Linked DNA regions of Caenorhabditis elegans. The protein of the gene in region 3 purifies or fractionates together with the protein of the main gene of each other region. This does not show direct contact. Each region holds a gene or a part of one and is shown on either strand. Other genes may lie near its edges. The genes, in order: twk-37, tufm-2 and tsfm-1.

The links.
Region 1: the proteins of tsfm-1 (region 3) and twk-37 fractionate together in Caenorhabditis elegans (co-fractionation; one large-scale study listed by BioGRID). This does not show direct contact.
Region 2: the proteins of tsfm-1 (region 3) and tufm-2 purify together in Caenorhabditis elegans (co-purification; one study listed by BioGRID). This does not show direct contact.

The regions. Positions count from the first base shown.
Region 1 is NC_003279.8:6,268,920-6,273,510, forward strand, and holds twk-37 (Potassium channel domain-containing protein), read right to left. Parts: upstream 2,615-4,591; 5' UTR 2,592-2,614; coding exon 2,563-2,591; intron 2,517-2,562; coding exon 2,457-2,516; intron 2,137-2,456; coding exon 1,952-2,136; intron 1,904-1,951; coding exon 1,809-1,903; intron 1,754-1,808; coding exon 1,667-1,753; intron 1,589-1,666; coding exon 1,459-1,588; intron 1,344-1,458; coding exon 1,178-1,343; intron 1,096-1,177; coding exon 837-1,095; intron 780-836; coding exon 642-779; 3' UTR 501-641; downstream 1-500. Other genes in the region: oac-9 (Nose resistant-to-fluoxetine protein N-terminal domain-containing protein), read right to left, coding at 1-114; C10G11.8 (AAA+ ATPase domain-containing protein), read right to left, coding at 3,094-3,318, 3,360-4,262, 4,544-4,591.
Region 2 is NC_003279.8:4,246,036-4,249,915, reverse strand, and holds tufm-2 (protein-synthesizing GTPase), read right to left. Parts: upstream 2,164-3,880; 5' UTR 2,156-2,163; coding exon 1,939-2,155; intron 1,893-1,938; coding exon 1,350-1,892; intron 1,216-1,349; coding exon 656-1,215; 3' UTR 501-655; downstream 1-500. Other genes in the region: cogc-5 (Conserved oligomeric Golgi complex subunit 5), read right to left, coding at 344-417; exoc-7 (Exocyst complex component 7), read left to right, coding at 2,336-2,449, 2,496-2,661, 2,711-3,212.
Region 3 is NC_003283.11:12,269,771-12,273,532, reverse strand, and holds tsfm-1 (Elongation factor Ts, mitochondrial), read left to right. Parts: upstream 1-1,981; 5' UTR 1,982-1,983; coding exon 1,984-2,067; intron 2,068-2,125; coding exon 2,126-2,271; intron 2,272-2,352; coding exon 2,353-2,780; intron 2,781-2,826; coding exon 2,827-3,119; 3' UTR 3,120-3,262; downstream 3,263-3,762. Other genes in the region: capg-2 (CAP-G condensin subunit), read right to left, coding at 1-89, 163-544, 588-1,298, 1,345-1,649. UniProt on the Caenorhabditis elegans protein: Associates with the EF-Tu.GDP complex and induces the exchange of GDP to GTP. It remains bound to the aminoacyl-tRNA.EF-Tu.GTP complex up to the GTP hydrolysis stage on the ribosome.

The DNA.
Region 1 (4,591 bases), on a different chromosome or scaffold from region 3:
TTTATCGCCTTCAAAAATTTGTTGAAGAATTTGTTTTCCAGACTTGGTAAATGAGCAGCTGACGAAGGCTGATGAGGGTAGAAACGAGACAAGTATCAAATAGACGAGATTCATTGTTTTCATGGGAAAACTTTCACAAATGATAATCGAAAATAAATTGTTTGATAATTAATGATTGCGTTTTCACAAATGACGGTATTTGCGTGAGCTGCACGTATTCCTGGAAAATAATTTTCAGAAAGAAAAGAACAATAAATTTTTTTTAACTAGCCACAAACACCGTTGTTTGAGAGATTAAAAATTCAATTACCAAATAGGTTATTCACGAATGCGCTACTAAAATTAACTCCGTAACGAGAAATTGCACATGAGGTTATAGGTACGGCGCTGGGAGGTCAAATAAAAAGGCGGGTGTGAGGCGCCTCTGTCAAGCCTTTACCGGATTAAATCTCTAAATGGGCAGTTTTTTTTTCCTTTCATTGTGCAAAAAAAGAAGCTTTTTGTAATTTCTTCATTCTCTTAATGACGAAAAAGAATAAGAATTAAACCACAAAAAGAATATCAATAAAAATTGTAATAAGCAAAGAGATATTTTAAATTTTGAGAATAATCTGATATCAATTATGATCACTGGATCGAAATCATTCCTTCGCTGTAGTCGTTGCAGCAAGTTTCCGTTGAGAAGCACCAGGTGATATCATATTTGTTTCTAAAGTGTCGGTAGCATGCCGTTCATCGAAGAGCTCCAAAACTCTCATAAATCTGTTTTCCATCGAATGCTGAAATTTGTAAACTTTAGACACTTGGTTTCTTACAAGGGAATCTTCACAGCTTACATGAACGAGAACTAAAACCATTGAAATCAGTGATAAATCGATAAAGTGTAATACACAAATAATAGTTCCAGAGATATGACCTGACGGAACAAAATCTCCAAATCCAATAGTTGAAAATGTACTGAAAGAAAAGTACAAGGCATCATAGAATACAAACTCCTCATAGACAGCAATTGCAAGTGCTCCGAAGCCCCAAAATGTGACAAGAAGAATAAAAGCTTTCAGTACTGTCATCTTATACTTTGCCGACTTTTTGCCACTGAAAACTAAATAATGAACTCAAATAAAGATTTTATATGGAAAGTTGAGAAGAGGTTATTTATGTTTAAATGTTAAATTACCATTTTCGAACGCAAATTGCAAAAATTTTGAGTGTCAAATTGCATATTTTCAACGTTATTTTTCCATTGTTGCGAAGTACGTAGAGTGTTAGAGCAATTCCTATAATACCATAAGCTACAGTAACCAATTTACCGGCAATTGTGTGACAGACAAGTTCGCCGTACCCTGAAATAGAAAATAGAATGATTAGACGACACCTCGGGAGAAAATTTTAAAAATATTTTTCAAAATGTTCGAAATCAGTTTTGATACTATTTTACTTGTTAATCCCGAGTCATACCTATTGTCGTAATACAAGTGATTACATAAGCCAGCCCATCCAGAAACTCTTCTATATGCTTTGGAGGGTTTGAAGCGTAGAGTAGGTCAAAAATTTCTTTTATACAATTGTTGTTCAACTCATTATCTGCCTGAAATAGATGAAAATTGTATCGAGGCGTTTTCCGGGTATGCTCAATTGAAAGAGATGCAGAAATACTTTCACAAACCTTTTTCAATTTTCCACACTTGCTACCTTTCATTGAATTGTAGATGTGTATTGATTTCTGACGAATATTTCTTTTGAACTCATTAATCTGAAAATATTATCAATGAATATATATCTGCAACAGAAACAAAAGCTTTACAAACATTCATATCAGATCTCGATTCAATCTGCCAAAACAAGAGAGCTCCACCAATTATATATGCAACAAGAACCACAAATGCAATTATTGTATTAAATTCTGAAATTTGAAACATTACTTTAAGCAGAATATAAACCAAATCCTCACTTCGAATCTTTCTCAAAATTGTTCGTAATTTCGTTGGCTTCGGTCTTTCCGCTCTAGACTTTCGTTCAACAAATTTTAAAATAGATTGCTTTCTGACAAGATGTTGAGTTTCTGGTGAAGATTTTTCCATTTGCCTCTTTATAAATTTATTAATAAGTCGATCCGTGTGAGTTTGCATTCCATCGCTGAAAGACTATTGCAGTTTGGATTGACAGTGGTGAAGCAGTGGGTATTGTTTGAGAAGATTTGACAGCTATTCTGTCGTCTTTATATTTTCCTGGTGTAGATAATACAGAAACTCGACATTTTGCTTCAGCTTTTTCTCGCACATTGTCGCACATCTTTGCGGGTTACCCCTAGTTTCGAATTTTCCGCGCATTTCTTCGCATGCTATCGTAGATCGTCGCAGATTTTCGCGATTTCCCAGCTTTCAATCGCACGGAGCGAAATGTCGAGCATGTGGGTTACAAACTAATTTTCTTCTGTGGATTGTAGTTATACTCACCTATTAGAAGTGTGATGGTTAGAGCTGTGTGATTTTTGATTTGAAGGTATTGAATCTGAACTGAAAAATGTAGTTTTTTTTAGATGAAAACAATGATTCTGCAAACCTCGATTGTCTTCTATTTGATGCTACCATTGGGACGATATTGACTCCAAAAATTAGAACTGACTTTTAAAAAATCGATTTTTAATAGTTTTGGCCATCTCAGAAAATATCACGTTTCTTGGTTATGGTGGTATTTAATAATTTTATAATTTTTAAAACTGTACGTAAACAATTTTTTCAAGAAACTTGGCGAGCTCAATGAGTTTGAAATTTTTTAAACAAATTTGGATATTTATTTTTGTATCTATTTGAGTGTATACGACAAATCTCATCTTGTGTTAAACAGTAACACATTGAAACAATAAAATATTTATACTCGAGATCGGTATTCAAAACGCCTCGGATCAAGTTAACATAATTCTTCAAATTGAGGCTCTGGAAGGGAAAGAAACTACGAAAACAAACAGTCTATGGTCATAGAAAGACCAAAGAAATTAACTACAGATGTTCATAAAAACATCTGCACTGGCATTGTAAGAGAAGAAAGGTTCATTAGGGTAAACTCGTTTGTACTTTATTGAATTTCCGATTGTCAAGAGAAGAATCCTTCTGGTGCTCCGCCCTTCTTCGACAGCATAACCGATTTGACAGCCTTCTCAAAGTCATCCGTTCCGACACATTTTCGTTGAGCACGAAGAGCCAGCATACCAGCTTCCGTGCAAACCGCCTTGATTTCAGCTCCACTAATGCTCTTCTCCTTTCCCAATACATTCTCATAGGTGACAGCTTTCTGAATCGTCATTCCAGAGGTGTGGATCTAAAAATAAAAATTATTTAAGAAATGTTGAATTGACTAACCGTGAAAATCTTTTGTCTAGTCTTCTCATCTGGTTTTGGTAACTCAATCTTTCTATCAATTCGTCCAGGACGGATAAGAGCGGGATCCAGCGAGTCGATTCTGTTCGTTGCCATGATAATTTTGACATCTCCACGGCTTTCAAACCCGTCCAATTGATTTAAGAGCTCAAGAAGAGTTCGTTGAACTTCTTGTTCTCCACGTGAAGAAGTATCAAATCTTTTCGTACCAACTGCATCAATTTCATCAATGAATACAATCGATGGAGCCTGTTCCTTTGCCATTTGGAAGATTTGACGAACAAGACGAGCACCTTCCCCACTTTGTTTCTGAACAAGATCGGATCCAGTTGCACGGATGAATGTTGCAGATGTTGAGTTTGCAACTGCTTTCGCCAAAAGCGTCTTTCCAGTTCCAGGTTCACCGTAAAGAATAACTCCTTTCGGAGCAGTGATTCCCATTTCTTCATAGTACTCTGGATGAGTAAGAGGAAGTTCCACAGACTCTTTCAGCTCTTGAATTTGACTCTCACATCCTCCAATGTCATCGAATGTCTCTTTTGGTGTCTTCTCAACTTTATGTCCCATCGCATTGCTGTCAATCTTGTCATCCAAAACTCCAACGATTGCACTTGGAACTGTTTTGAACATTCCACCAGCCTTCACCATGACGAGGGCATTCAGACGAAGCAAGTCCTTGTCGACGATCGAGAGAATTGGTACGTACCATTCACGTCTCGAACCTTCAACGACCACAACGGCATGCTTCTCATCATCGAAAAGCTCGTGGACACGAGCCAATGTGGTTGGAGTTCCTCGGAGACTTTGAACTAATTGCTGTTCACGACGTTTTTGGACAGCAAGAGGGCGACCATGACGGCTTGTTTGACGAGTGATGAACTCTTTCTGTAATGAAAACAACTGTTAACCATTTAACTGCAGTCATAGGATCCCTACGCAACTGACATAAACAAAACAAAATTCTCTACGTCTATCCTACTACTCCAACCCTACAACGATTTGAAGTTCGTGTAATGATGACGTCATAGATTGCAAACTACATTTACTACAAGCTATGGCTTTATGAAGTGTTAAAGACCTCGAGTTAGATAAATTCCGCATCTTTGCTCTCTAGGGATGAACTCTTTGCTTTCTAGGGATGAACTGATAATTTAGTTTTCACAAACCTCCAACTGCAAGTAATCATGAATCCTGTTCATCTTGAGAAGGCGCAC
Region 2 (3,880 bases), on a different chromosome or scaffold from region 3:
GATTTGATTTTTTATTAATATAATGTAACACTACAGTTATGTTTTTTAAAAATTTCTCTACTGGCGGTACTCCATCTTTCGACAAAGTGTGCGCCTTTAAAGAATACTGTAATTTAAAACTTTCGATGCTGCGAAGTTTTTATCGATTTTTCATAGTTTTTCTTACGATTTGTTAAAGTTTATGTTGTTCTATTTTAGTTTTTAAAAAATAAATAAATGAATATACTTTTTGCAAAAAACTATGAAGAATCGACGCTACAGTACTCTTTAAAGGCGCGTACCATTTTTCATTAAACAAAAATTGTCGTGTCGAGACCCAAATCCACAAAATTTGGCGACTTACTTTTTCAAGTAATCCTTAACATCAGTTTTTCCCCAGAGGAAGTCGTCGAGCTGTTCGTCGACTCTCCCCGACATTTTAAACTGGAATTAAAAAATAAATTATTATTTAATACGAAAATTAAAAATAAAGATATTAATGAGCAGATCAGGTAAAACTGCTATTAATAGGAGAATGGTATTATTTGAACAATAAAAGTAGTGAAATATTATTCGAAGATTTCGACAAAAGAAAACAAAAACAAAACAAGATATAGTAGTTAACAAGCTAATAAAATCTAACCTAAAATAAATCAATACTGTAATATATAAAGAACTACATCTTTTCAGCGGACTTTTTAAGATTATGTTTCTCTACAGCCACATGATCCTCTAGATCTGAGATGATTCCTCTAGCGATCGTTGTTTTACTGCTTCCTTCTCTCAATGTAAACGGCATTCCTTTTCTGAGTGGCATGTCTTTCATCAAGAGTACTGTAGCAGAAGTATGTTCTCCTGGCATCAGAAGCTCATTGCTCATATCGAAACGACCAACTTGATCCCAAGTACTGCAGTACATTTTGTCTGTGAAACCAGTCCGAATTCCGATCTTCCTGCCATTTTCAGCCTCCGAGAGAAGATAAAGTTCCACTTTCACTCGATTCGTAATTGTTACTGCTCCTGGATGTCCTGCCCACATTCCTCTCTTCACTGTATCCCCTTTAACTCCTCTACACAGAACTCCACAATGATCTCCAGCACGAACTTCCTTCACACTTTTGCCAAAAACTTGGATATCCGAAGCAGTCGTTTGAAGAGTTTGCCCGTCTCCTTTGATTTCAACTTTATCGCCTTTTTTCAAGACACCTCTTTCCAGTGTACCGACGATGACTGTTCCTGAAAAACATTTTAAATTGGTTTTTTTTTAAATATTAGGGGTGGCAAAAAATGTCATTTATTGAAATTTCTTGCACTTTTTCTTGCAAAATAAATTCTTGATTGGCACACCTTATATTTCTTTTTTCAATTACCTCGCCCAGTGATAGCAGTTTTCGATGCAATTGGCATTACAAAAGTATCCTTTTCATTTCTATCCGGCTCTGGAAGTGAATCCAATGCATCAATCAATCTCTCGATACACGAAATATCTTGTCCTTCTAGAGCACTTAAAGCGGAACCTCGAATAACTGGAGTCGCATCTCCATTAAAGCCATGCAGACTCAACAATTCCCGTGCTTCCATTTCTACCAAATCCAGATCATCTTCTTCAACCAAATCCGCTTTATTGATGAAAATCGCCATATTTTTAACACCAACTTGCTTGGCTAGAATCAAATGTTCTTTGGTTTGCTCCATGACTCCGTCGGTTGCAGCAATCACAAGAACAGCCACGTCCATTTGTGAAGTTCCGCAAATCATATTTTTGATGAAATCCGAGTGACCGGGGCAATCAGTGTGGGAATATCGACGCAGAGGACTTTCATAGCCGATATGAGCGACATTGATTGTAATTCCACGTTTCTTTTCTTCTTTTCCCTTATCGATTTCGTCAAATTTAATATGCTTCGCAAAACCTGCAGAATTGAATTCATTTGTGAATAATATAAAAATTAATTAAACCTTTTTTAGCCTGAACTCTTGTGATTGCTGATGTTAGAGTTGTTTTCCCGTGATCGATGTGTCCAATAGTTCCCACATTTACATTGATTTTTGGCGTAGCAGCTGCAGTGGCAAAGAAAGCGACGGCATTTCGTGTGATTGAATTACAAAATGAAGATGTTGAGCATCGATTGAATAGTAGAGATCGTGTGAATGCCGACAAAGCAGCGGGGTTCATTTTACCTATAACACCGAGAAATTCATGTTATAATAAAATCGGTTATAACAATTTTAGTAACTTTGAAACCATAGAAACCTGGAACCTGAATTTAATTTAAAAAATTCCAAAAATTGCGTGGCAACTCATTTTGTCCTCGAGGAGTACGCGGCCGCGTGGCCTAGGAAGTAACTAGGTCACATGTTGGTTGTTTATTATTTTTATTGTTTTCCATTTTTCTCTGTCAATTCTCGAATATTTCCAATGGCAAGTGATCAAAATGCTGCCGAATCGATAGCCAAAAAACTAGCTCAGGTTTGTTTTTGCTGAAAAAGAAGATTGATCATTTAAATCATTTCAGGAGGAAGAATGGCTACAGAATTTTCAAAAGAACATCGCGAAAAGCGCGCAGATACGACAAGGAATCGAACAAGTTGTTGAAAAGTTTGATCAGAGATTGAGCTCTCTTGAAAAGAATGTGCTCCCGATGCATATTTCGAACGGGAAATTGCAAAAGAAACAGCATAGTATGTCAATTTGGCAGTTTTCTTTTAAAAAAAAGAAGATATTTTCCAGATATCCAACGTCTCATCAATACAATTGACGCTACTCTTCAATTTTACGGAAAAACTAGCACTGTTGAGAATGCAATAAATAGTGGAAATCCGTCCGTCGATCTCGACCCTTATCTCGAAAATATGGAAAGTCTGCAGCAAGCAATCATATTTTTCGAAACCCATCCAAATTATCGAAGTCAAACGGATAATATGAGAATCACACTGGACACTGGATATACAATGCTTGAAAAAGCTTACAAGAATTTTCTTCTGAAGAATAGTATTACCGTGGATCCGGCACCTTTTGTAAAAAATGAATTGACACCCAGATTGAGTGAAATCAAAATTATGACCGATGAAGAACCGATAATCAAAATTGGAGTTTGGCTCCTGAAGCAGCCACGTGTTCCTAATAATTTTCTGGGTTATTACTCTGAAATTCGTGGAGCACAAATTTTGAAGAATATCAAGAGCATCGCAGAAGCACAGAAATCATCGCAACTTGCTTCCAGAAGTAAATTGTAAGATTGAGTGTTTTTGTGTGCGCCAGTCATACAGTACCCGGTCTCGACACATTTCTGATAAAAAACAAAAAAGATGTGTACCTTTAAAAATGAATGTAATTTCAAACTTTCATAGTTTTCGATTAAAAAAAAGTACTTTTTTAATTGAAAAAAGCTTCAGAAAAGCTTTTAAAAAATTAAAAAACTTAAATTTCGACAGATCGGACTGATACAAACGATAACAAAATCGATGAACATTTTCGGAACTAGAGTTTGAAATTACAGTAATCCTCCAAGGCGCATAATTTTTCACAATTTGTCGTGTTGAGGCCGGTATTTTTGACGCAAATTTTCACATCTCGATAAAGAACACGGCTGTTGGAAAAAAAAGTGTTTTTGACCAAAATAAAAAAATTGAAATTTGCGAAAAACCAAAAAAAAAAGCCAAAAAAAATTGATGCCTGTTAAAAAAAAAACCAAGAAAGAATGAAATTTTTTTTTGAATTTTTAGTCTTAATAACCAAAAAAAAAATAAATTTTTCTTAAAAATTCAAAAACAATGTCTCAGCCCTGGTCTGAAAAACTGAAAAATCGAAATAAAAGTTATTAGAAAATTAACAAAAATTCCAGCTATTTCTCGATAAATCGAAAACCAAATATTTTCAATTTCTCAAAAATTCAAAAAA
Region 3 (3,762 bases):
GCGTATTTTTCAAATATTTCCTTGACAACTTTTCCAAATATTTGATCACATTTCGCTTTTGAAGTTCCATCGCCATCTGACATCAGCATCTGAAAAAGTTTAGAAGTTTATAATGTTTTAAAAAAGGTCTTCAATTTTAAATTTGAGAAATAGAAAACTAACTCCTTTGCATGACATGTACAGAATGAGAGCACACTCAAGATAAGCTCTCGCTTTTTTGTATCCTTCGGCAGTCTCTGGTAATGGAGGGCCATCCTTTTTACGAAGATAACGATATGCCCAGGTTATAAACATTTCGATAAGTTTGGATGCTTGGGATGCATCAATGATTTTCATTGGGCCAAGCAATCGGAAGTAACTCAAAAGAGCCAATCGACTTTTTCCTAACATGTAGTTGACACGAGGACGATAGTATGCTTCATCCAGACTTTTCGAGATAGGAAGACAAATATGCATAATTGGAATCAGTTGACGGCGGCAGGTCTCTACGTTTTCCAGATCGAGTTTCGCAATGGCATCATCTCGAGTAATGATATCGAACACACTGAAAATTTATTTTTTAGTTTGTTGATTTGGGTTCATTTTACCTAATAAATTTATGATTCTTCAGACGAGAAATTATTTGGTAAGCAGCAAGACGAACTCGTTCAGATTTATCCTGTAGTGCTGGATCAACGGCACATTTCAATCCATATTCGAATGCTGTGAGACATGCCGGAACAAATGCCATTTCATTAAGACCTTCAAAAACGGCGACGCGGACGCTGACAACAGTGTCTTTCGCGACTGTATCAATGATGTATCCCATGAGTTCCTTCACGATATTTTTTGGAATAAGAAGCCAGAATTCGCTGATTGCCTTCAAGACATGTTTCGTGGCTTCGCTTCGAATGGAAATAACATCACTACGTAATAAGTCCATCATATATCGATGTTGGTTTTCCATTATCCTATCCATGTCTTCAGTATCCTCGCCAATTAGTGGGTAAAAATTGAAAAATACTTCTGCAGCTGATGACTGTACAATGTAATTTGGAGCGTCCAGCGCTCGGTAAAGACATCCATTGAGAAGCCTTGTCACCATTTCATCTACACTTTTGTCCAGTTTTTTCGCGTGTGCAAATGCGGCAATCACATTTTGAAATTTAGTGCAGGTAGGCCTGTGAGCATATAATGCATGCTGACACATGACACTGATCACATCGGTCTCCAATTCCTCTGTCAAATCAAAGTTAGCCTCCTGATATGCATTTCTCCAAGCTGTGACGAATACTTCACCATACCTTTGACATTCAGTGCTGCAAAAATATATATAAATGGAATTCTTCAGCGTATAAACTTTACTCGGTGAGATTGAACTTTAGTATTAACTTCTCGAGTAGTATCAGTCCATTTCCAACACCAATTTTTGGGAGAATTTCAGCTGATAATTTTATACCTTCCGGACAAATCAACAAGGCTGGTGCGAAGAAAATACACCGAAGAGTCGATGGATTTGCATTGGCAATAATATCTTCTTGAACTGCCCACAATTTTCTGATGAATGTTTTCTGAAGAGCCCGACCTCCTTTTCCACGGAACTCTGTGAGTAACTCATTCCAGTCTTCTGATGGTTGTTTGTTAGGTGTTACCGGATTGCTCTTCGGCATTGATCTCTTTACTGAAAATTTCTATGGAATTATAGAATTTATTTCAACAAAAAAATAGCAAAAAATAATAGTATTAAAGTTTTCACCTAAAAATAATTATAAATAATCAATAAAATAATTCAATAATATAATTTACCTCGCAATTAAAAAAAAAGAAACACATTTTCCTTGTTATGTTCAAAACGAATTCTTTCGCGCGGCCGTCTTTCTCATTGGGGCGCACTTGCCTTTTCATTTTTTAATGCAAAAAATGCCCAGAAAATTGCATAATTTGCTTTATTCTCTTAAAATAATTATCAATATTGACTGAAAACTAAAGTTTCCAATTTTAGAAATGTTTGCTAGAGCTCCATTTGTACGTCTACTATCAACGACTAGTCGAAACTTGGCTGAGGCCGAAAAGAAAGTCTCTAAAGAGGTATTAAAATCTAGGAACCCTAATTAATTTTAAAAAATAAAAAATAATTGTTTTTCAGGCTCTAATGGCTCTTCGAAAAAAGACTGGTTATAGTTATGTGAATTGTCGTAAAGCACTTATTCAGTTTGGCGAAAATGATATGGATAGTGCTGTAAAATGGTTGAAAGAAGCTGCAGCGAAGGAAGGATGGGCCAAAGCGGCAAAGTAAGTGTTTATTTTGAAATTTTTTTAATTTGGAATGTTGACTTCACAAGGAATTATTTTAATAGTTATAGAATATTCCAGACTTGGAACTCGTGTAACATCGAATGGTCTTGTATCTGTAGTCACGGACAACTCAACAGCAGCTGTGGTAGAACTCAGTTGTGAAACTGATTTTGTGGCGCGATCTGGAGCTTTCAAGGATTTGTTGTCAAACATCTCCAACTCTGTTCTCGCAAAAGCTAAGCCACAATCTATATCGAGCGGCTCAAAACTTCAAGAATTCACCTATGATCTTGGGGATCTGACCGATTCCGACGGAAAAAATATGCGTGAAGTGCTCTCCCTTTCAATCGGAAAGCTTGGTGAGAACATGACAGTGAGAAGAGTTAAGGCTTTTAAAGCTCCCGAAGGAACAACTTTGTTTGGAGCTTCACATCCTAAAGATGGAACTGATGATATCCCGATGGGACGGTTCATTTCACTCATCGCTCTAAATCAATCGAGTCCAGGTGAAACAAAGAAATAAAGTAAAAAATTAAGTCTTAACATTTACAGGGTCAATCAGTAGTCAGCAACTTGCCGGACAGATATGCCAGCACATTATCGGAATGTCCCCGGAATCCCTCGGCGAAGCTGCAGAATCTGTGAAAACTCAAGAAGGGCTTCGTAGTCAAGAAGGGCATGATCCAAATGCTGATCCAGTTGTTGTAACTAATATTGATGAATCGGAAACTGCTCTTCTCCGCCAAGCCTTCATGTTGAATCCATCTCAATCTGTTCATGAGTACCTAAAATCCCACAATGCTAACATTCTCGATTTTGTTCGTGTAGAGCTTGGAAGCGAATAATTAGATAAAAGTGGTAGTAACTTTATTTTCATGCCTTATTAGTTTTTAGAATGCTTTTGTTTCTCTGTTTTGTTAATCGATAAATAAATTTATCGACATATAAATTGAATTTAAAGTTTAAAAAATAAACATTTGCAATTTTCAGAACATTCCTCCGTGGAAAACAATTGAACAAGAAGACGATTAAAATGCATTTATTTTATTTCAGAAATTCATGGTCACTCGGATTTCTGTCGAAATCAAATGTATTTTAAGGTCACAATCCGCGAAAATTTAAAACAATTGTTGTAATATAGTAAAAATACGAGAAAACTGCTGAGAACACTCAGAAAACATATATATTTTTGGGGTACTGTATTGGTACTGTAGGAGTAATTGGTGATGTAGGTGTACTGTAGTATCACTGAGCTCTTTGTTGAAACATGCGATATTGTTCTAAATTGTATCGTTCTTAGATTTGGCAATTTATCAAGACAATCTGAAACAAATATTGTTGCTGAGTCTGTTACTCTTGTTCCAAAACTGAAGGGACTATCTTGGTCATTATCATCAAGTTAGACGGTTTCAGTTCCATTGACATGGCAAAAAATACGAAAGATCACCGAACATTCCTCATAGTTTTATATTCCAGATGTTCCCATTT